Caenorhabditis elegans: one gene and its partners. The protein of the gene in region 1 purifies or fractionates together with the protein of each later gene. This does not show direct contact. Each region holds a gene or a part of one and is shown in the gene's direction. Other genes may lie near its edges.

Region 1 (5,295 bases):
AGTGTCCAAAAAATAAAAATCGAGTTCGGTTCGCCCTCTGCCCCAAAATTGTCATTTTCAGCACGTGTTTGCAACAAGTTTTCCATCGACGTCAATTGATTATAGAGTATATTTGGAGAGCAAAGGAAGTGGAGTAATTAGAGAAAGCACAGGGGAGTTTCAGAAAAAAAAAGAGAAAAGTTTTTGATAACGTCGCGGACATACCGAAGAGCAAGCATAATAGAGAAAATGGGTTGATGTCTGATAAGGAAAGAGCCCCGGGATGTTTGAAGGGGGTGGAGATTAATTGAAACGTATAAATGAGGAGCTTGGGAAGGAGTGGAAGGTCATATTTCTGATTTTCTGTTAGACTATAGTAGGGAAAAAACTCCGCTTTTGGTTATTTAAGGCCACGAACGGTTTTATAATTTCACCATTTATTCGTTTCAGTAGAAAAATACAGTTTAGCCGAACTCACGCTGTAGGCAGATCGTCATGATGTACACCAAGATTCATTTTAACTTGGGCTCGAGTCTAAACAGAAGTCCGAGCCTGATCCTACGCTTCTTAATAACCAGTTCCCCAAAGTTATTCTACTTGCATTCTACTCCCTTATCATCACTACTTATCACCATTTCACCATTCAAAACTGTCATTTTTTTCAATGAATTCTTGAACTTTCAGCCTCTCACAATGCTTCTCAGGTGTGTCATTCTCTCAGTTCTTTGCATCGCTGCCACTTCTTTTGTTCTCCCAGTTGTCGACAACTTGGCAGACTGTGCTGCACCAAATGGAACCGACAAAGTGATGCACTGGTGGCAGTGCTCATCTGGACCAGTTCAATTTTTGAATGCTACTCCATACGACTCTACCGGAAAACAATACGAGTACCCAATTCATTTGAGTCAGCCAATTGTTGTCAAGACTCAAATCAATAACCCAACGAGCACATATGTGTCGCCAAATCTTCGTAACACCGTCAATATCTGGAAGTATGGAGGATGGAACGGATGCACATGGAGCTCAATCCCAACTCTCGGTCTTTTGTAAGTTTATATCTTTAAGTTAATTCTAATGGATTAGAATGGGTGAACTGTTTAGGCTATTCTCGACTTCTAAATAATAAATAACGATTCATCTTCCAGGAAGGACCTTGACGCCTGCGCAAACGGAGTCCCATGCCCAGTCCGTCCAGGAAACCAAGAACTTGACGTCATCATTGACTTCACCAAGTTCGACCAAATCATCGCCTTACTCAAGGACAATCAGCCATATCAACTCGAGTACATCCTTCACGACAACCAATCCGGAGACACCTCATGCATGATGGTCCAGGCTTGGGCCTTCCTTAAGTAAAATGCTTTCCCATTTGGCGATTGGCTTTAAGATTTCTAATTATATTTGCACTATAACACGGGCGTATATTTTAACAACAATAAAATGTACATAATCTTGACTTTTTGTTGGTTTTTGTTCATTATCAATTTGAAGGAAAAATTTCCGAAATCGAACTAAAGTTGCGATAACATTTTGATAAAAAAGAACTATTCGCACTGGAAAATGTTGCATATTTGCCATTTTGGCAATGAACCAAAAATCAAACAAGTAAACAAGGAATCAGAAATTATTAATAATTTCCCGATTCAGTTATAGTTTGAAAACTGAGAAATTTCAATAAGTACCTAAAGTTGGAAGTATGAAGAATACGTGCTTGCACAGGTTTTTTAAAACTTTGTCTTTCCTTCAATTCATCGGATTTAATGATCAAAATAGAAGAAGAATATAAAAATCGCATAGACGTCAAAAATGAAAATTTTCTTCATATCTTATGAGTACAACGAGTTACTTTACCACGCGTCAATTTCTTAGGCCTCCATTGTATCATAATTTTATTTTAAAAAGCTTGGAATCAGTTATTCATTGTATTAGAAAAACATGGTGCAGTAGCGGCCTTCATATTGACACGTGTTACAGTAACCCGCTTTCCGCGTGGCGAGACCCATTTGCGTAAATTATGACGGAAACTCTCATCTTCTGACGTCTACGTAATATTAAGACGCTGATAAAGCTAAAGTTGCTGAACAAAGTAATGAAAAATAAAAATGTATGGTACCCAAGTTTTAAAGGCGCATAGCACGAGTGAGCAAAATTTTCAATCGTGGCGAGACTTCGAAAGGTGCATTTCTCAGGAATACTCAATATACATATGAAATTTTTTCAATGAAAATGAGTACTTCCTGTGGATATTTCCGGTTCTCTGTGACCTCTTTTTTATTCTAGAATCACAATTACATGCAAAAAACTATTAAAACGCGTGGTTTCTTCAAATTGCCATGTGCTTTGATATTTCTCTTATCGTAGTTTTTCCTATCGAATTTGATGATCATTTTGCAATTTAGTTTTCCATTTTCTCAAATTTCCCAGTTAACCAATTACAGATTCACTATTTTATTCCAACTTAGATCACATCCACTAGCTTTCGAAACGAAAAATTCTACTTCAATTCCAGATGCTTGCTCGTTGTCTGTGTCTCTTCGCCCTACTTGCTCTCTCGTCGGCATGCGATCAATGGCCGAATACTACAGAGACAAAGGTCAACTGGTGGCAATGCTCAAATGGACCAGTTATGGTGACCAATGTTAATCCAACTGATAAGAGTGGTTCGCAAGTTTTCTGATAGTTTCTACGAATGTATAATTGAATCCAGGTAACAGTGAATATCCAATCCGTCTTACTGAACCACTTCTCATTGCAACATCCATCAATGATCCATCCTCAACTTATACTACTCCTGGACTTAAACAAACTATCAAGGTCTGGTCATGGAATATGGCTACTTGTGGATGGTCTTCAGTACCAACTTTTGGACTTTTGTAAGATTTTTGCTTCTTACAGTAACCTACAGTAACCTTTTCCAGGAACAACATCGATGCTTGTACCAACGGAGTACCATGCCCAATTGAACCGAAAAACAAGGTCATCAATTTGGAACTCGACTTCTCTGATACTCCAGCTATCATCAATCTTCTCAAGGTTATTTTGATGTGTATTCTTCGAAAGTTAAACCCCCAATTTCAGAACGATAAGCCTTACCAACTCGAGTATCTTCTTCATGATGACCCGAGCAAGGAAGACCTTTGCATTATTTTCCAGGCTAGAGCTCTCACTCATACTTAAATTTTGAAGTGAACAATTTAATAAAGCAATAAACTTTTTTCTCAACAAAAATTATAAATTGAATTCTTAAATAGTGTAACAAAACGTGGAAACTGGGTGAAATATGGGAAACAACCGAATGCGAAACAAAACAGGAAAAATTTAGGCAGTGAGTTGAAGCTGCTTGTAGACTTGCTTTCTGTATTCTTCGAGTCCTCCCTCCAAAGTTGTCACCATTCGATCCTTCACAACCCAAAGTTCCTTGCACACAAGCTCGATGAGTTGCTCGTCGTGAGAAACTAAAACGACACCTCCATTGAAAACATTAAGCGCTTTTCCAAGAGCTTCAACCGTTTCGACATCCAAGTGATTAGTAGGCTCGTCAAGAATCAAGTAGTTTGGCCTGAAAAATACTATGAATTAGACGGAGTTTGAATAAATTTTTTTTTCTAGGAAAAAATGAATATTTTTTGAAAATGTTGCTATTTTCAAGCAAAACTCACTGCATCAAGGCTAAATTAGCAAATGCCAATCGAGACTTTTGACCTCCAGAAAGTGTCTCAACAGATTGCAAAGCCATATCACCAGCTAATCCAAATCTTCCCAAAGCTGCTCGATAATCTTCTTGAGTCTTTCCAGGATGATTCTTCATCAACACCTCAATAGCTGATGTTTCCATATCCAATTGATCAACGTGATGCTGTGTGAAGTAGGCAATTCGAATACGACGATTCACATTTCGAAGTCCAACGGATGGTTGGAGATCATCGAGCAAAAGTTTCAACAGTGTAGTTTTACCGGCTCCGTTTTCTCCGACAATACAAATCCGGGAGTTGGCATGAGTTCCGAGATTGAGCTTTCGGAAAAGATAGGGAGAATCTTCGTTATAACGGAAGGATACTTCATCGAGTTGGAGAACTGGATTACTGAGAACTTCGCATTCTGGGAATTTGAAGTGAATGTCTGATTCGAGTTCGACAGGAAGAAGAACAGGCCTGAAAATCATAATAAAATTTTTAGTGACAATATTTTATAAAAACTCACAATTTTTCCAACATCTTGATTCTGGATTGAACCATTGGAGCTCTTTTAGCGTTGTATCTGAATTTGTCAATAAACTCTTGAGTATGCTGTCTCAATTGCTGTTGTGATTCGTATTCTCTCTGCTGTTGCGTCAACTTTTCCTTCATCGTCTTCTCAAATTGATCGTAATTACCCTTGTAGTGATCCAATCGTCTGGTGTGCAAATGAACAATGTCCGTGCAAATTTCGTTGAGGAATTTACGGTCGTGAGAAACCGTCAAAATAGTTCCTTCCCAACCTTGCAAATGTCCTTCCAACCAGTAAACCGCTCTCATGTCCAACATGTTAGTCGGTTCGTCAAGCAACAAGAGATCTGGCTTCACGAATAGAGCTCTGGCAAGGGCAACTCTCATACGCCATCCTCCAGAGAACTCCTTTGTTGGACGCTTCTGCTCGTCTGGAGTGAAACCGAGACCATAAAGAAGGGAAGAAGCCCGTGCTGGAGCTTTGTCAAGTTGGAGAGCTTCCATTTCGATGTAAAGTTTTGAAAGCTCGTCATTCCATTTGGTTTTCTCGGCGTCATTGATATTGTCCTTGTTTATACGACTCTGAAATTTTAATTTTGAAAAATGAATTAATTTTTGTTCAAATTAAAAATATATATTTCAAGAATGGAATGAATTCAAATCAGACTTTTTTGTCATATTATTCTCATTGAATATTAATATCATTTTCTGAATATCTCACTTGCAGCGTCTTTTCCCTATCAAGAAGTGTTTGTCTCTTCGTATCTGACATCAAAACAGCATCCAAAACGAGTGTATCATCTCCTTCCACTTCCTGTTCCACAGACAGCATTGAAATACCTGCGGGGATCTTCAACTGTTGGCTTGAAATCATTTTAAGCAGCGTCGTTTTTCCGATTCCGTTTCTTCCAACCAATCCATATCGTCTTCCAAATGCCATTGTGACATCGGCACATGAGAGAAGTTGTTTCGTACCGATAGAAATATCCACACTTTCCAGTTTGATATCCTTTGAGTTGGCTCCACGGGCACCCGAGTCACGAATTGGAGCTTGGGAAGCCGTTGCTGATGGCTCATTCTTCTTCTTCTTCCGTTCAACAGGTGCATCTGC
Region 2 (6,253 bases), on another chromosome or scaffold:
GAGCTCGGAAATGCGGTTTTTTGCGTGCCCTTTCGGAGTTTTTTTAAAGAGCCTATATCGTACAACCAGGAAAGTATTTTTTGACAAACTAACCATATTCATTATCCATAACTGTTTTCTTTTCCAATGAAACTTTATCCTCCGTAATATCATTAATTTGAACTGTTATATTTTCCTCTGTTTGTTTAACAACCGGATGTAGAGACTCAATTTGAAATACACAATTCTGATGAACCATAATTCCTTCTGCAGTAAACTTAATACATGGACGTTGCAGATCAAATACATCAGTCATTAGTAGCCCTTGAATATTTGGCATTAAATTGAGAAGACCTTGTCCGGCCATTAAGATCTCGAGCTTTTTGTTGAAGGCAATATGAAAAGGGAACATTTGAAGGAATGATTTGGTGTCTACTGGCAGATATTCATTCAGATTCTTTACGCGTTCTTTCAATCTGAAAATCGGAAATTTTAATTTCAAAAATAGAGCCAAAAAAGATTTTGACTCACTTCAAGTCTTGTCCAAGGCCAACATTATCAAATGAAATCTTAAGAACAACAAAAGTAAATCTTCCTTTTTCTTTCTTTTTCAATACTTGAATTCCAATATCCAATTGATAAAATACTCTTGCCAATTCAACAAGTTGTCCAATTACATAAGAAAGATATCCAGTTCTTCTACTCCGATAATGTAGAATTAAACCATCTTCACTTTCAGATTTACAGTAAAATGACGGAGCTCTGAGTTTTGGATAACTGAATCGAAAATATTCATGAATATTATCAAGTCCTTTGATAAAATCCGAAAATCTCCTTCCCATAACATTCATCAAATCTCCATAACCATTTCGAATCAAAAATTGAACGAAAAATCTTCCAGCGAGAACTCCAATTTGTTCATATGGTGTTCCAGTGATTTCATGAATTGCTTTGAACATTTGAGGAACAACGTGTTCCGAATATTGATCATGAGTTGATACTGACTTTTCTGACAGTGATGTCAGCTTTTGAACCTGAAAATATAAAAAAGAATACCTACTATTAGATAGATAAATTTTCTGAAATTTTTCATTACCAGCAAAACATTTTTTTTTGAAACCAGTTGTTGCTATTTACTATATAAAAACTTCCTCATATGAAATTATACATAATTGCCGTATTTTCTCTATTAAAATGGCATGCCATATTGTATTTTGAAACCTAATATTTTTGTTGAATTTTCAAGTTATTTGGCTAATTCAATAGCCAAATCGGTCATTGTGCAACAGATATATTAAGATCCATATATAATTCAAGACTTGCGAAAGAGTTAAATAACAATTTTTTTTTGCAATTTCATAATCATTTGACAGATAAAATATTATAATATACATAGATGCGCAAGGCTAGTCTCTAAACAGTATGAATATTACCAGCTGGCATTTCTTTGTTGCACTCGAATTCATCCGACACAAAGAGTTTCAACACAGTTAAAGGGGAATTTTATTTTCTATCGAAGCGGGTCTCGCCACGAGATTCGTTTTCAATGTGATGACTAATATAGAGAATCTGCCAAATTTTACTATTTTATCACGTCTCGTTTTTTCTTTGAAAATCAAACTCATTTCAACAAACTTGTGAAACGAAAAGTATGTTATTTAAAATTATGATTTTTTAGTTTTGAAGTTTCTTTGATTTAGGCATAATTGTTTTTTAAAATTGTTGCTTCGAAAGACTGGCTAGCCAGCTGTCTCAAAAGTTTGGAAGTTTTATAACAATTTTTTCTGATATTTTTGGTCTTATGAACATGTAAAGATAAATTTTCTTTAAAAGATAATTTTTACGTCGAATTAGAAAAAAAATCGAGAAAAAATCGCAATGTTCTAGAAGTCTTTTCCGGTTAATGACGTCATAAAGTTTAAAGCTTAATATTTGAATGGGCGCCTTTTTTATATTGGCTGCATAGCTACTCACCTACACATCAATATATAATTGATACGGAGTCATTAAAAAGTTAAATGTTTTCAACTTTCATTTGGAATTTGAAAGATCATTCAAGTTGGTATTTAAAAATTAGAAAAAGTCAAACCTGCAGAAGAACTTGGGGTCCCCAGTTTTCCTGTATCATAAACCGAACACCTTCAATGACCAATCCGTACATTTTGCGGGTTGATTTCTGCTAGAAGATGTTTGAAAATGCTGACTAAAATCTGAATAAGGTGTTTCCACTACCAACATCTTCCAACTTCCGTGCCAGTTTCCGTTAGCTGTACACTGTTGCCCCCTATTTTAATAATCTCATCTTCGATTCGTAATATCCATTAGCTCACCTCTCCCCCTTTCCCTTGAAATACAAATGTCTGCGTCTCTCCCCGCTCGTTGCTCTTTAGGTCTCCCACCTTTTCCTCTATGTAAGGCAATGGTCAAGAGACCGCACAACACAGTGGTTCATGTGTGTATCCCTTACCCCTCCACAGAGACACAGCATAGACGGAGAGAGTCTAGGAGACCGAGGAGAGCAGTATACTTGTCAAGGCTAATTCTCATGCGTTAGGGCCGTGCCCCATTGGCGCAGTCGGTTAGCGCGTGGTACTTATAGTCTATAGGTTATGCCAAGGTCGCCAGTTCGAGCCTGGCATGGGGCAGATTATTTTTGTTTTATTTGAGGTGTCTAAAGTAGTTTAAACGACATTTGTAGCCCCTATTTCGTGTTTTGTAGTGAAATGTAGTCTGTTTGATTTGTGGGAGTTGGAATCGATCTTCTACGAACCTGTGATAAGAATAGTGATAACCTAAACATTGACGTACATGCATCTTTATGATAAACATGTCATATGACAAGTTAAGCAGGTCAAAGTTAATAGCTCGATGTATTCTAGTTAGTATAACAGCTAACACACCAGAGCCAAACTAGCAAAATCTGTTTGAATGTTTGTTTTTAAATTAAATATCAAACATTAATTAAAACAAAATTGATAGACTGGTATGTACTTTAATCCAGATCGTCAATGCCATGCAATCTCGCATTATGGTCGCGTGTGACGTCACATTATCTTAAAACACGGATGTTTTTTTCGGGAACCGAAAAAACGAGCTGATAATTGTAAGGAAACTATTTTCAGTTTAAAATTGTACTGCTGGAAAGTTGATATGACCAGGATAGTACGAAAATACACCTATTAAAATGTTCGAAGAATTATTGGAACAGTCTATTACTAGGGATTATATTTAAAGGCATAACACTATGAGAGCACAAAATATAATATTCTTTAATCACCTCTACAACTCGTTAACCCTGCAAATTTTCGCTTTCAAAGTCCAAGTTTAAGCAAATAATTTGAATTCTCCCGCAAACATGCACGTGTCTAATCAGGCCTTTCACTTCGAAATGAAACCGGAGCTAGTAGCGAAATGCCTAATTCTTATCAGCAATATTCGAGAAAACGCCAAACTTCAAAAGTTATCAGTCGCTTGAAACGAAAAAACTATAAAACCCCTGGTAAGCGCTTGATAAATTGGTCGACTGTCGAATTTCCCAATTCTCCAGCCAATCGAAAAATGGTAAGGCTTAATTTTCCTGAAGTTTAACTTCAGTTTCAAAAACTTTTCAATTTCAGAAAACTGCAATTGCTGCTCTTCTTGTCGGCCTTGTCGCCGTCAACGCCTACAATGTTGAGGTTAAGCACGGAGATGCCATTCCAGTTGAAGCTCAAATGCTTCGTGGACAGGAACTTGTTGATTACGTCAACAAGGTTCAGACTTCCTTCAAGGCTGAGCTCGGATCATACTTCAGCTCTTACCCAGATACCATTAAGAAGCAATTGATGGGAGCTAAGATGGTCGAGATCCCAGAAGAGTACAGAGTTAGTAAATTTGAATATTTTAAAGATTTTGAAAAACGCTTCCCAAAAAATACAGATTTCTTTCAAACTAATTTATCCTAATGAAATTGTTTCCAGGTTTTCGAGATGACTCATCCAGAAGTCGAGGATGCTGCTGTTCCAGACTCATTCGATTCCCGTACCGCATGGCCAAACTGCCCATCCATCTCCAAGATCCGTGATCAATCATCCTGTGGATCGTGCTGGGCTGTCTCTGCTGCTGAAACTATTTCTGATCGTATTTGCATTGCGTCAAATGCCAAAACTATCCTTTCCATCTCTGCTGACGATATCAATGCTTGCTGTGGAATGGTCTGTGGAAATGGATGCAATGGTGGATATCCAATTGAAGCCTGGCGTCACTATGTTAAGAAGGGATACGTTACCGGAGGATCTTATCAAGATAAGACTGGATGCAAGCCATACCCATATCCACCATGTGAACATCACGTCAATGGAACTCATTACAAGCCATGCCCATCCAACATGTACCCAACTGACAAATGCGAACGCTCTTGCCAAGCTGGATATGCTCTCACCTACCAACAAGATCTTCACTTCGGACAATCTGCATACGCCGTCTCAAAGAAGGCTGCTGAAATCCAAAAGGAAATCATGACTCATGGTCCAGTTGAGGTTGCATTCACTGTCTACGAAGATTTTGAGCATTACTCCGGAGGAGTCTACGTTCATACCGCTGGAGCCAGTCTTGGAGGACATGCCGTAAAGATGCTCGGATGGGGAGTTGATAATGGAACACCATATTGGCTCTGTGCCAACTCATGGAATGAGGATTGGGGAGAGAACGGATATTTCCGTATCATTCGTGGAGTTAACGAGTGCGGAATTGAGGGAGGAGTCGTCGGAGGAATTCCAAAATTGTAAATCTCGAAACATTGTGTTTGTGATTGCAACTTCAATGCCTATTGTACAATATGTATTCGATTTATAAATATTTGAATTATTCTTATATTTTCTGTTAACATTTGCATACAAACTTGAATTACATATTTTTTTGTCAAGATTAATTCGAATTCTGTTTCTTTTGTTCCAAAATTCAAATTGTTTGAAAAGGGTTATTATAATATAATGCACAGAACTTGTACTCCCAAAAAATTGTATGAAAAATATATGTTCATTGAACAGATAGTAAACGAACAAAACAAAACAAAGTAATGACATAAAAAATAAAAAGGGATAATGAAAATACAGAATATGCAATAAGTAGATACTGCATCATAAGAACAAAATCAGTTGGAAGACTTGTTAAATCAGATACTCCCAATGGCCAATGATTTGTTGATAACATTAAAATCTTTGACATTCGATTATGAGTTTCTGATTTTATCATATCAATATCATTTCCAAAAAGACTTCGATCCATTACTTGACTTATTTCCACTGATTCTATTGCTGCTGAAATAATGTGATTTTTTTAAATTTTAAACTTTTCAAACTAAAACTCACTTTTCATAAAAACTGAATATTTTGGGAATATAAAATTTGGCACAATAATGACAAGCAGCAGAATGGCAACACATTTAGACAATGCCTTTGATGGATTGAGAATAGCTGTCAGACATATAAAACCGACGATCAGAGCAAATATGGGAAATATGACATGAGCGAGCATTTCAATTTTGACGCCATTCATTTGTATGTAATTCCAAAGAAGTACGTTTTTGGAAACATCAGTCACCAGGAGAATACCGGCTAAAAAAATCTGAAAAAATACACTTTTTAGGTATTAATTTATATATTTTTTGTTTTTAAAGGATTAAAGGACGATCCGTTCTTCAAGTGCTATGAACTCTGGGATACAGGTACACTGCCTGGTGGTAGACTCAAAAATGCCACAAAGGCTATGCCTATTTGCGTTCCTTCAATGCTGGCTTCAACATTTCTAAATACAATCTACTCCTATTTTCCCAAGAAAACTCAAACATATATGTACATATCTTTCTTTAATTGTATGTATGTATGTAGGTAACATTCGAAACTAGTTACGTCTGCTTTTTTGTGCCTATGAGAACGCACTCCAAAGTTTTAAACGTTTTAAGCAACATAGCTCATTAAACGTTAAATTCTGGAAAGTACATTTTTAAAAGCGTAGATGAAGCTCAAGACTACATGTATTTTTATTGTAAATCTACATCACATAATGTCTAGATCAGTCTAAATTTCTTCTGAGATAAGGTTTTTTCCATGTGATGTTGCATATATAAAAACTGGATTAAAAGATTTTCAAGAGAGCACACTAGGAAGTAATGAACACGTCTTGAAACTTACTTGAGCATAAGAGAGTACACGAATATAATAAATAGAAGAATCAAAAACTCGAATTTTGCGTTCATAGTCCCTGATCGCAAAATTGCTATTTGTCTTGGTTAAAT
Region 3 (5,792 bases), on another chromosome or scaffold:
GTTTTCATTCTCTACACCTGTTTAAATTTAACGTTGTGAGTTGATCAGGTGCACCGGTTTCCCGAAAAACTTCACCGCAACCCAATACATTTCAACGATGACTGACGCGTACCAAGGTGGAAAAGAATCTAAAAAATATACAATTTACTATATCATTGATGGTTCCATAAAGGTTAGTTGGAACCATTTTTTCACTTTGATAATTTGATTTTTAGGCTTGCCTCGCAATTCTTCTTCCCATCCTCACAGCTCTACTAGTTGGACAGCTGAGAAAAATGATCGCTCTGCGGAAAAAAACGTCTTCGTTGAGAAATGATAATGGAAGGCAGGTTTTTCAAAATTAGGCCTTGCTTTCTTTAAGAACAATTTTCAGTCAATCTTCGGATTAAATCACGAAGCTTGTAATTCTGATGGCAATTTCATTTATCACTGCTGAATTGCCAATTGGGATTCTTTATATCTCCACAGGGTTGCTCGCTAGTCATCCGGCAATTGTGTAAGAGAATATAATAATAGTCATTAAACGGGCGGAGTCTAATGGAATTTGCCTACAAGTTGGTCAAACTTCGCGCTAAATTTTTTGGCCAAAATCTTCTAATAAATAAAAGGCAAACATCAAAAATTGTTTGAAAATTTAAACAAGTCGAGATAATATTTTCGGCGTTTCAAAATTTCATCAAGCATTCAATTTTGTTTGAAATTTTTGGTTAAATTTCAGGCAAAAAGTTAAAGAAATTTCTAGTTTAATAATGAAATGTTGAGAATTTTTTGTAAATTTTCTAAATTGAAACAAAAATCCAAAAACTTTACACACAAATTTATAGGACGAGAATAAAGTTCAACAACTGAGATTAAAGTTCTAAAATTTCCAAACAAAATATATATTTTCAATTCAAAATAGAAATATGGAATTATTTTTAAAAAACTGCAGTTTTCTAATTTCAATTTTTAAACTTTTTTTTCTTAAAACTTCAGCAAAAATTAAATCAAGTTTCAAGTATTTTCTGTAAATTTCAATTTATCACTTCTTATTAGAATATTAGATTATCCTTTTGGTAATTTTTTTTAATATAATGGTATTGCTTCATCAAAATTTATTTTTCAGAACTACCATACGCTATTTGATGGATATTTTCACGTCATTTGTTGCCATTAACGCCACCGTTCATTTCTTAATTTGCCTCGGCGTAAACGCTCATTATCGAGACACTGTTAAAGAGCTATTCCGCTGGAAATTTGAAAAATTGAGGAAAACTTCAGATGACTCAACTATGAATTCTCAGAGTGTTGGCCAACCTAGAATTGTCGCTTGATCAATTTTTTTTCAAATTTTTCTACTTTCCAATTTTTATTTTGAACCCCGTGTCCTCTTATTATTTTTGAAATTTAATTCCGCATCCCATCAAGATTACCCTCCGACCAGAACCTCGTCAGACCCCCACCCACACCAGCGCACGTGATAATTAATCATAGTATACCTATACTTGTTGACTATATCCCCCTTAATTCCCATGAGAAGCATCTCATGTGTCTTAATTGAGGGGTACACAGCGAGTTGTAAAGAGGTTGTCCTTAACAACCAAATTTCTGAATCTTTTGCAAACTCATTGCTTTGAATTTCACAACTAAAATGAACCCCGATGCTCCGAGTGTCGAGGAGAAGCTCACCGTCGATGAGTGCTACGTTATTTCCAAGGTGAGCTGAGATTTATGCTAACAAAAAAGCTCGAGTGTTTTTCTTATTTTCAGGAAGATTGGTTTGAGCCAATTTTCTGTAAGCCGAAGCTTATCCCGTTGAAGACTGTGAAAATGCGAGAGATCGAGAAACGACGCAATGAAAACATGGAGAGGGTCAAGGCGATAGAGGTGAGTTTTTTTTTGAGAAACATATAATTTACTTATTTACATTCTTTTTTCAGACAGCTTCAACGTCAGAACAAAAGAACCCAGAGGTGGTACCCAAGGAGCCAAAACCAGAAAAGCCTCGGAACCCGGAAGAGCTCAAGAAACAGAATGAGTTGAACAAGATCGATTTGTGGATCGCCGACGAAGATCCGGCACGTCGCAAGTGACTATTGTCTACTTGTAAACAATAATCCTAACAATCCTATTTTTAACTCCAAACTTTTCGCGATTTCAATTTTCAAAAAACATTCCAGACAACCTCTAAACCTACATGATCATCCTAGTACTTCTTGGCCCAAGCGCTATGTCCAAAAAGTCAGGTCTACCCTATGTACTGCCGTGTAGTCAAACAAGCTTCACCATCATGCCATTCACCTTCTTCCCATCATTTCTCCTGCCCTCTTATCTCTAAAAATTGTGATTTCTGATTATTTCAATAAATAATAAATATGTTTTGCGTTGAAATTCTGGTCATTGAGATTTTTTAGGTGGTCTGTAATCATGGGCTCTTAAAACTTTGATACACCTGAGCTTAGGCCAAAGCTAATCCTTAAAAAAAAGCTAAGCCTAAACGCTAAACCGAAGCTATTGGGATTATTCATGTGATGCCAAAAAATGCACAAATGATTTTTATACAGTTTTACCCTATCCCTAAAAACGAAGGCATTTTTTTTAATTTTTCAACATTTTTCGACATTTATCTACATCGGCCGACAGCCCGCTTCACATGAAAAATGTAGAAAAATGTAGAAAAATGCAAAAAAAGCATGTGTTTTTTTTACATTTTTCTACACACATGAATAGATAGGGGAAAAATGTAAAAAATACATTTTTGCATTTATCGTCATCTCATGAATAACCCTATAAAGCCTAAGCCTGGGCCATAGTTTTTCTGGAAAATATCAGACATTAATCTCTATTTGCCACATGGATTCCAGCAAGTTTCCACGTTAAAATCTTCGCGAGCCGTCATATCACTAAAATTCCTTATCTACATAGTGTTCTTGACACATCATTAAATTAGTTGCTCGCGGAGCAACAACTGCAAAAACGGTCTTCGTTCGGAACACGTAAGCATGCAAACACGCGCTGGAAGAGCAAAGTGCATGCGGTCACAAACATTTTTTCTCGGTATAAAATGCCAAGCGGGGTGCCACATTTCGGCATAGGCATCAATTTTCACTGCTGCTGCTGCTGAATCAACACTAAAAATGGCCGAGAAACGTGAGTTTTTGGATGTATGCTTATTTTTTCAAGAATTCATGTTTTTTGTTCAATTTGAAAAAAATTTAACAATAAGACCGAAAATGGCGAAAAATTGAAATTTTCAATTTTTGTTGATTTTTCGGCAGAAAAAAGTATGTAATTCTTTAGCAAGTTATTGTTTTGATTTTTTACATGTAATTGTACAATAACCTCATATTCCAGATATTATAGGATACAACACCAAAAAATGATTTAATTTTTTACATTTTTAGATGTCAGGCTGTCCCATTTTGGTGAGATCTACAAAAAAAGCGGGAATTTAGACGCAGACTTCTCAACTGATTTTACATGGTTAAGAACATGCTGACACGTCACATATTTTTGGAAAAAAATTCCCGCATTTTCTGTAGATCAAACAGTAATGGGCAGTCTGACACCACACGCTTCCAATAAAAAAAGTTTATTAAAAATATCGGAAACTACCCGAACATACAACCAACTTGAAAAGTACAGCACACACGTGGTGTCAGGCTGTCCCATTACGGTTTGATCTACAAAAAATGCGGGATTTTTTAACCCAAACAAATGTGACGTCAGCACGTTCTTAACCATGCAAAATCAGTTAAGAAGTCTGCATCTCAATTCCCGCCATTTTCGAAGATCTAAGTAGATCAAACCACGCAAATTACCTAATAAAAATCCAAAAATTGAAAATTTTCGGATTTTTTGTAGGTCTCCTAATACCCTACTAATATGTAAAAAAAATTTCAGTCGCAAAAGCCAAGGAGGAGATGACAGCCGCCGGTCTCTCGCCAGAATCCATCGAGGGAATTCTCAAAATCGCCGCCACTTACAAGAAGAAGGACGATGAGCCAGAACGTGATGCTGCCACTTCTTTGGCAATTATCACAAAAATGATCGGAGAGACCAATGAGTATATTAAGGGACAATCGGAAGCCGATCAGAAGATCTACGCTGTCATTATTGAGAAGAAGAAGGCCGAGCTTATCGAGGCCGCCAAGAAGCAATAGATTTTCTTTTTGTTTTGAAATTTTATTCTATTATGAGCTTGTAATAAAATAATTTTTGTAATTTTAAACTTGTAATGGTCACATACTTTTGGGAAAAAAATTCCCGCATTTTCTGTAGATCAAACAGTAATGACACCACGTATTTCTAATGAAAAAGTTCCTTTAAAATTTCGGAAACTGCCCGAACCTACTTGACCTACTTGAAAAGTAATGTACATACATGGTGGCTGTCCCATTACGGTTTGATCTACAAAAAATGCGGGATTTTTTTGCCCAAAAAGTGCACGCTTTTATCCATGCGAAGTCAATTGAGAAATCTGCATCTCAATTCCCGCATTTTTCGAAGATCGAAGTAGATCGAACCACGCAAATTTAATTCAATTATGAGCTTGTAATAAATAATTTTTTTGTAATTTTGAACTTGTAATGGTCTTTCCAAGTGATTTTTCATGGAAAATATATTCTTGTAAATTTTTTAAAAATCTCTATTTTTTCTTATAAAATCAGCTTTTTTTTCGATAAATTTTTGTGACAAAAATTGATTTTTTAAGATTAATTTTTCGATTAAAACCCTGAAAATTTTAAATTTTTTTTCGAATTTTTTCGATTCGATTTTTTCCCAGACAGTTTTTCGAATTTAAACAAAAAATTCATAAATTTCTATTTTTTTCTACATAAAAAACACAATTTGGCACATAGAAAAAAGGCGGAAAAATCACATAAAATATGCTTAAAAATTGGAAAAATCCTGAAAATACGGGGCTTCAAATCACATAAAATATGCTTTAAAAATTTCAGAAAAAACCGAAAATTATGAGTTTTGTTTCTTCAAAAACTGATAGACGACACCGAAATCCTTTGCCTGGTACTGTGGATCACGAGCCAGAATACGGTAGATTTGATGAGCCAGTGAGCCCATTGGAGTTGGTGCTTGAGTATTTGTTGAAGCATTTTGAGCCAATGAAAGGTCTTTTGCCATTAGAGTCGTTCCGAAGCCGCCAGCATAACCCTGAAATTGGAAATTTTAGGTTGATCGGCGGAATTTAGGAGACTTTCATTGAAATTTTTGAATGAAATTTCTGGCAAATCGGCGAATTGGCACATTGCCGGAATTGAAAATTTCCGGCACACCGGCAAACCGGCAATTTGCCGAAAATGAAAATTTCCGGCAAATCGGCGAAACGGCAAGTTGCCGGAATTAAAAATTTCCGGCAAATCGGCAAACCGGCAAGTTGCCGAAATTGAAAATTTCCGGCAAATCGGCAAATTGAAGGAATTGAACGTTTCCGGCAACTCGACAAACCGGCAAGATGCCGATTTGCAAAAATGTTCCAGATATTCGATTTTTTTTTTGAAAATTTCAACTTTTTTGAATTATTTTTAAATCAAAATTCCTATTAAAATCATCAAAAAATTGGAAAGTTATAAATTTAAGCTAAAAATTCAAAAAATGGCGAAATTTAATTTTTTAAATGAATTTTTTGAGGACAGAATCAAATTTTGAGATTTTTTTTTTGCATTTTTACGGATTTTCAGTCAATTTTCCATCCATACCCTGCACGAAGGGATGTTTTCAATGACTCCGGGTACTGGATTGTACGTGTCCGACGACCAACACCTTCCTGACGATGTATTCACGATTCCGGCAAG
Region 4 (6,534 bases), on another chromosome or scaffold:
ATAACATTTATAACCTCAATTCGAATCAACACGTCTAGCACAACTACAATTGTCTTCTCAAGACACTAAAACCTGCGAATAGAGCATGTGACTATGAAAAACTCTCAGAGGTTATGTTTTATATTCACTTGGTGGTACGGAAATGGAATCAGAAAGGGTGTACTTTCACAAAGTGCACAGAAATCGTGGGAATCATGTCTGAAAAGTAAAACGACGTGTAGAAGACTCAGGACATATTTCAGAATAAATGGGATGTTTGAAAATTGACATTGTTGAAATGGGGTACAGAATCTACCTGCAACAGTTCATTCCAAAAATAAATTATTTTCAGAAAAGTTCAAAAAGCTTCAAAAAACCCGTGTCCCGTTTGTCCCGTTTTCCCGTTTTTTGAGTGTTTTTACGGGAACGGGACGTCCCGTTGTCCCGTTTTTAAAATTATCACGGGAACGGGACGTCCCGCTGTCCCGTTTTTGTAATTTTTACGGGACATTGACACCCTTGAGTAGGATCAAATGAAAATTATTAGGCTGAACATTTTGAAGACGTTCTCAATTGAACCAATTGACAGAAATGCTCAAGAATCAAAAGAATATACCTTTTAAAAAAATCGGTAAATGGTCTAGTTGTTATTAATTTTATCAGATTTTTACTGTTACTTACTCACATATTTCCAAAAGTAAGGAACCTAATTTAACTAGAACTTCAGGTGGGACGGATACGGGCGCTGTCCAATCAGGGGCTCCAGTCTTTGCTCTTCTTGATTGCCGATTGGCCGATCGATTGCGAAAAAATGAAATCTAACTAGCAGCGGAATGCAAACTATCCAGTGCTTTTTTATGGTGTCAACAAAAATTTTACTGTATGATTTCACAAAGATTTGAAAGCTGGATGCTCCATAAATTTTTGCATGCCACTTTGACACCATTTAGTCATTTTTGTGCATACCTTGAAGGCTTAGCTTATTATGAGTGAACAAGCATCTTAACTATACAGGGCTACTTTCATCAAAACGTCAAATTACTCTTACGACCTTGTCATGAATTTCAGAATTCTGAAATTAATCAAAAGCCGCCGCTGTATTACGCAATTCCAAACTGTTTTCCCAGCCTTCAGAAGTATACCGTCCTGAAGTATACCCAGATCCATAAATTTTTGCATGTCACCTTGTCTTCTTTTCCCAAAAACTTAGCGGGTCGGGGGGTTAGCCACCTTCTTCACACAGGGCAACATTGTCTTTGTCTCCGAGTTGTGTACGTCCCGCGTCCTCTCGTTTTTCGCTCATTCGATTTATTGGGTAAAAGTGCGCGAAAACAGAGAGGAAATGGAGAAGGACCGAGTAGAACAAGTTGGGACAATACGGGGGAGCGACACGCGACGAAACGGTGACATTAGTGATAGATGAGTCTAGATTTGGGAATAGTGTGAGTGATGAAGAGACACAGATATATTTTATGAGAGGGAAAGTGAGGTCGAAGGTTCAAGTTTCCATGGTGCATTTGAGCATAATGGGAAAATGAGGAGAGCGGCAAGAAGTTGTGATACCCTGAAATATTGGTCATGGAGGATTAAAGGGGAGATAAGTATTGAAAAAAAACATATGGAACACTATATGTGTTCAGAAATTTTAATTTGAAAAAAACTAAATTTTAAACTAAATTTAAACTCGAACAGTTTGAGTCAACATATAGTGAATGACAAAAAAACCATTTGGAAGTGGAAAAATATTCAAGTTCAAAAAACGGAAAAGTGCATAACTTTTTTATGGGAATTTTACCTACAAGACAAAAAATCTAATTTTTCAGAATTTGGAAAACTTAAAAAACATAACCGTTATTTTTCTATCCCTACTTTAGTAGTTTAGTGTACTTCTAGGTATCTACTGATGTTCAAAAAATTATTGTAATAGTTAAAGATCTCCATTATGCAAATCACAGCTCATAGTGAAGTATAAAAAGTCATTTAATTACAGTATTCCCATTCATTGGTTAATCAATTCACTTGCTGTCAATGGGAAAACAATTTCAAAAGGTTATCACCGTTTGAATATCGAAACGATCATATTCTTTCTACACTTGTGTGACAATAAATCGTGTCAACCAGACAATGTGGAGCATTTGAGGTTGAAGTTTTGATAGGCTCGTATAAAGCTAGGGAACCTTTTCAGATATTTGTAGTTATAATATCGTTAAAGGGAATGTGCGTGGTGTTTGTAAAATCGTAATAATCACATAAATACAATCAACTCAAAATGATGAAACCAGCAAAAATAGAAACAAGAAAATGCGATTCAAGTGAATAGGGCAACATTCCTCTTCATCTCATTCTTCAACTAAATTTAATTTGGCTTCCAGTTTTTTCTCTATTCTTTTCCGTCTTCTTTCGTTCCTTTTCCAATTGCACTTTTTGTACCATAGGGACCCTCCGTCTTCGTTTTTTTCTGCAAACAAAAGCGCCACCCTAACTATCATTCCGCTTTACAAAGGAAATGAGAAGAACGAACTGGGAGAGCCCAGGGTGGCCTTCTTCTTCGTTTGGTTTTTTAAGAGTCTCGGGTCCCGAGGGTCCATTCAAAATTGAGAACATGCTGTTTTGTAGAAAACGAAAGGCGACATTCCGCAAGATTTGGGTGGTCTCCGACGAGAGACGTTTAGCCCGATTGCCTGATTTATGACCATGTGCACTTTTACAGACTTGTTTAGTGTCAATATGAAAAACGAATGTGCAAAACTGGTTGATGAAAGGCAAGCGTGAACTAGTACGTGTGAATCTGACATCTAAAGTTGAATTATAAAAAACTCGTAGGGAAAATACGGTAATCCATTTATCAGACTCAATTCAAATAAATATTCTGAAACACAGTATCAGAGTTCATAATCTGATGTTGCAATGTTATCAGTGAATTCAATTAGTTAGAATGTTTCGCCGATAACCCTATTTAGTTTTCTTTCCCATTTCAGCGGAGAATAATTATTTTTTCATTCAGTGTTTCAATTTATTTTTATTTTTCAGAAAATGGGTATTATTTCCATTATTTTCCTTCTTATTGGGTCTTCGACGGCTGCAGTCCTCGAACATCAATTAATATGGAAAGAATCTAGAATGATTGAAATGATCAGAAATGGAGAATATCCTGCCTATTTGGAGTACCGCGACCGTATGGTTGCTAGTAGATCATCTAACCTGGCTACTGTGGTTCAAAGCACAACAGATTATGTGTACTATGAGTACATGGGAAATATTACTGTTGGAACTCCTGATCAAAACTTTATTGTTGTATTAGATACCGGATCAGCCAATCTCTTAATTCCAGGAACTAATTGCACGTTAGTATTCCTGTTTTGAAATTGAATAACGTTTGTGATCACAATTTTTCGAAAGTTTTTTACAGAACGTACTGTGAGAAAAAGAGATTATTTAATGAAAAAGCTTCATCCACATATATTGCAACCAACCGCCCATGGCAGATCAAATATGCTAGCGGTGATGCCTACGGGACATTGGGAATTGACACTGTTAAGGTTATTTGATGGAAATTCTGAAATTTTACATATTTAAATGCATAAATAAATTGTAAAAAAGTATTAACAAAAATTTAATTAGGAGTAAATTCGTGTCTGGTACTGTGAATAACTTTTCTTGGAGTCATCTAGGATAAAATGGAATTTTCAGATCGGTGGATCAGGAGAAGCACAACTCGCTATTCCAAGATCATACCTTGGTGTTGCAGACACTGTCGGATCAGATTTCAAATGGGTTCGTTTTTTTCAAGTTCCTTCACTTTCACTATTTTGCATTTGCAGAGCCCAAAAGAGGGAATCTTTGGTCTTGCATTTACTGCATTAGCTGTTGACAACATTACCCCTCCAATCATCAACGCTATCAATCAAGGACTACTTGATCAGCCACTTTTCACTACATGGTTTGGTCAGAGAGGTGCTCCTGGAACTTCTGCAAGTGGTGCATTCACTTATGGAGGATTGGATAAAAACCATTGTGGGCCAGTTATTGGATATGCGGAACTAACTAATGCTAGACATTTTCAGTTCCAGGTATTTCTGGAGAGTTTTGATTTTTGTATTTTTTCTGAATTTCTAGGCAACCGGATTTTCTCTTGGCTCATATGTATCCACAACCACATATGAGGTAATCACCGATACCGCTACTTCATTTCTATGTGGACCTCAAGCTGCAATTGACAACTTGGCTAAAGCTGCAGGAGCTACTGTAAGCATGTACTTTCTGTGATTGCGTTAAAAATTACAAATTGTTTCAGTGGGACCCAACAAATCAAGTATTTAACATTCCTTGTGATGCCGACGCGGGGCCAATTAAGATGAAAATTGGCCAATTCAACTATGTTATTCGAGCAAATAACTACATTTTGAAGATTGATGTAAGTTTTGCTACATATCAAAAATTATGTGAATAATTTACAGACAAACTCCTGCCTTTTCGCTGCAATTCCACAAAACTATGCTGGTTTCGGACCTTCATGGATTCTCGGTGGACCATTCATGAGACAATATTGTAATGTACATGATATCGGACAGAAACGTGTTGGATTCTGTTTATCTCTTGCATAGACTCTTTCATAAATACATACATTCATATTCTCGTATTCTGATGTTTCTTTTGTTTTTGTGGTTCCTTGTCCTGTGATTTCTGCTATTTTCGTATTTTGTGGAAAATGAAAAGATGATGGACCATCGAAATGAGAGGAGGAAACGTAGTTTGTACACATGAATAAGTCACTTGACGCGTATCCATGGAGGTCTTTGTCTATAACGTTTTCCTTTAAATTTGGAGCGTCTCAAGTTCTTGGCTCATTCTGATTTTTTGACTCATTCACTTCCTCGAAATGCCTTCTAATTTTTACTTTTTCTTTTTCGCATTCCTAATTTTTCTTATAACTCCAACATACCCGCTCCAATGCCATCAATGCGGAGGTCAGGAAAACATGTCTAAGCTAACAAAGAAAATGTTCACTGAACTGAATATCAGCCCTGATAAGTACTACGGAGATTGTAAAGCAACGTCCGGTGCCGATGTTTGTACCAATGGAACATTTTGTATCAAAAGAGCAAGTATGATTGTTGTTTTTTTTTACGAATCACTGGTACCATTCTCTTTTTAGAAATCCACAGAGTTGGCTTCAATAGTATCAATTTCAAATGGACTTCATACACAAAGGTATCTAATTTTTTTATAAACTTGTAAAAGTATGCAACTGATCCTAACTTTCAGGGATGCGCTAGCGTTCGCGAAGACAACAATCAGACTCCATCAAACGGATGTTTTGACTTGAACCAAAAGGTCAAGAAAACTGGATATACTACTGTAAGTTGCGCTATTTTTACAGCACAGTTTTCAAACTTTATGTTTGTAGGAGCGCCTCGATTGCTATTGTGACAAAGACTTCTGCAACTCCTCGACGGCCGTTTCAATGACTTTCACCACAGTATTTGTGTTCTTCTGGTTCTACAAATCAATTTGAGAATGATGTTAGAAATATTTCTTGTTGAAAAATATTGGGAATTAGTAATTTATGTAGCTTGAGAATAATTGCTTGGGTTTCTGCTTTTCACTATAAATTCAAAATTTGAGATCAATGAATCTTTCATAGTTTTATAATAATTCCCAGATCATTATTTTCGTCTTCATCCTCTTCTTCAAAATCTTCACAACATTCCGATATTCTTGGAAGACTAATCGCGGAAGGACGTTGTAGGGGTTTTTCAAAGTCAATAGCGAGTTGAATCTAAACAAAATAAAAATTAATTAACTATTGAGCCTTTTTATATTCACCACATTGTCCAAATGGCTATCCGAAAGTTGGCTCGAGCTTCTGTACCAGTAATCTTCATCATCTAAACTTTCAATATCCAGAAATTTCAAATTTGCAGCTGAGCTTCTTCGTGATCTAGATATTTCAGCTTCTTGTACAGCTTCTTCGATATTTCTTTCCTTTCTCTGAAATGAAATTTGTAATTGGAAGAATTTTCTAGAATTCTACCTTTTCCGACATTTTCTTCTCAAAAAGATATTGCCTTCGCTTACTTGATACAGCGATCCACGAGATTTTCGTGAAGTATAGAATTAGCTCAGTTAAAGAAACAACTGACATTCCAAACCACAAACCGTTCAAACCAAATATTTTATCTAAAATTCAGAAATTGTTTCATTAGTAATCAAAAAACTCACTGAAAGTATTCAAAATAGTTGTTGCTTTAACTTGAGAGTATGAAGTGTAGAACAATTCCATAAAATGAATATTTATTATTGCTATATTTTGTCTGAAAGTAAGACTCGTTGAGCCAGAATTTGTTTTCAAATCACACCTAATGTAACTCGCGCTGCGATTGGTTTCTCTTGTAAGCCATTTCATTGAATTATAATTAAATCCGTCACCATAAGATGTGTATGAGCTATAGCTAGTTTTTTGGCAAGCCAAATGGCATTCCGCACAAAACGGAAAATCTAGGGATACTGTGCCTGTAAATGGGCACAAAAGTTAATTTTAGTTTTATAAAGCTA

What was found.
Region 2: the proteins of F42A10.6 (region 1) and cpr-9 fractionate together in Caenorhabditis elegans (co-fractionation; one large-scale study listed by BioGRID). This does not show direct contact.
Region 3: the proteins of F42A10.6 (region 1) and dct-16 fractionate together in Caenorhabditis elegans (co-fractionation; one large-scale study listed by BioGRID). This does not show direct contact.
Region 4: the proteins of F42A10.6 (region 1) and asp-13 fractionate together in Caenorhabditis elegans (co-fractionation; one large-scale study listed by BioGRID). This does not show direct contact.

What each region holds. Positions count from the first base shown.
Region 1 is NC_003281.10:6,174,055-6,179,349, reverse strand, and holds F42A10.6 (MD-2-related lipid-recognition domain-containing protein), read left to right. Parts: upstream 1-2,488; coding exon 2,489-2,639; intron 2,640-2,686; coding exon 2,687-2,852; intron 2,853-2,897; coding exon 2,898-3,012; intron 3,013-3,057; coding exon 3,058-3,156; 3' UTR 3,157-3,193; downstream 3,194-5,295. Other genes in the region: F42A10.7 (MD-2-related lipid-recognition domain-containing protein), read left to right, coding at 673-1,025, 1,125-1,335; abcf-3 (ABC transporter domain-containing protein), read right to left, coding at 3,298-3,538, 3,639-4,130, 4,180-4,766, 4,906-5,295.
Region 2 is NC_003283.11:11,999,637-12,005,889, forward strand, and holds cpr-9 (Peptidase C1A papain C-terminal domain-containing protein), read left to right. Parts: upstream 1-3,416; 5' UTR 3,417-3,537; coding exon 3,538-3,540; intron 3,541-3,596; coding exon 3,597-3,842; intron 3,843-3,938; coding exon 3,939-4,745; 3' UTR 4,746-4,948; downstream 4,949-6,253. Other genes in the region: gcy-33 (guanylate cyclase), read right to left, coding at 94-455, 511-1,013, 2,069-2,140; F57F5.3 (ABC transmembrane type-1 domain-containing protein), read right to left, coding at 4,996-5,276, 5,328-5,583, 6,150-6,253.
Region 3 is NC_003283.11:20,496,333-20,502,124, reverse strand, and holds dct-16 (DAF-16/FOXO Controlled, germline Tumor affecting), read left to right. Parts: upstream 1-3,067; 5' UTR 3,068-3,116; coding exon 3,117-3,129; intron 3,130-3,882; coding exon 3,883-4,142; 3' UTR 4,143-4,201; downstream 4,202-5,792. Other genes in the region: dct-14 (DAF-16/FOXO Controlled, germline Tumor affecting), read left to right, coding at 1,631-1,696, 1,750-1,866, 1,920-2,072; B0250.5 (putative 3-hydroxyisobutyrate dehydrogenase, mitochondrial), read right to left, coding at 4,954-5,151, 5,697-5,792.
Region 4 is NC_003283.11:8,639,669-8,646,202, reverse strand, and holds asp-13 (Peptidase A1 domain-containing protein), read left to right. Parts: upstream 1-3,009; 5' UTR 3,010-3,012; coding exon 3,013-3,323; intron 3,324-3,388; coding exon 3,389-3,518; intron 3,519-3,669; coding exon 3,670-3,753; intron 3,754-3,800; coding exon 3,801-4,049; intron 4,050-4,095; coding exon 4,096-4,224; intron 4,225-4,273; coding exon 4,274-4,393; intron 4,394-4,436; coding exon 4,437-4,583; 3' UTR 4,584-4,601; downstream 4,602-6,534. Other genes in the region: nssp-59 (Protein quiver), read left to right, coding at 4,859-5,084, 5,135-5,190, 5,245-5,337, 5,387-5,494; acd-4 (DEgenerin Like), read right to left, coding at 5,618-5,758, 5,806-5,970, 6,014-6,159, 6,202-6,293, 6,339-6,492.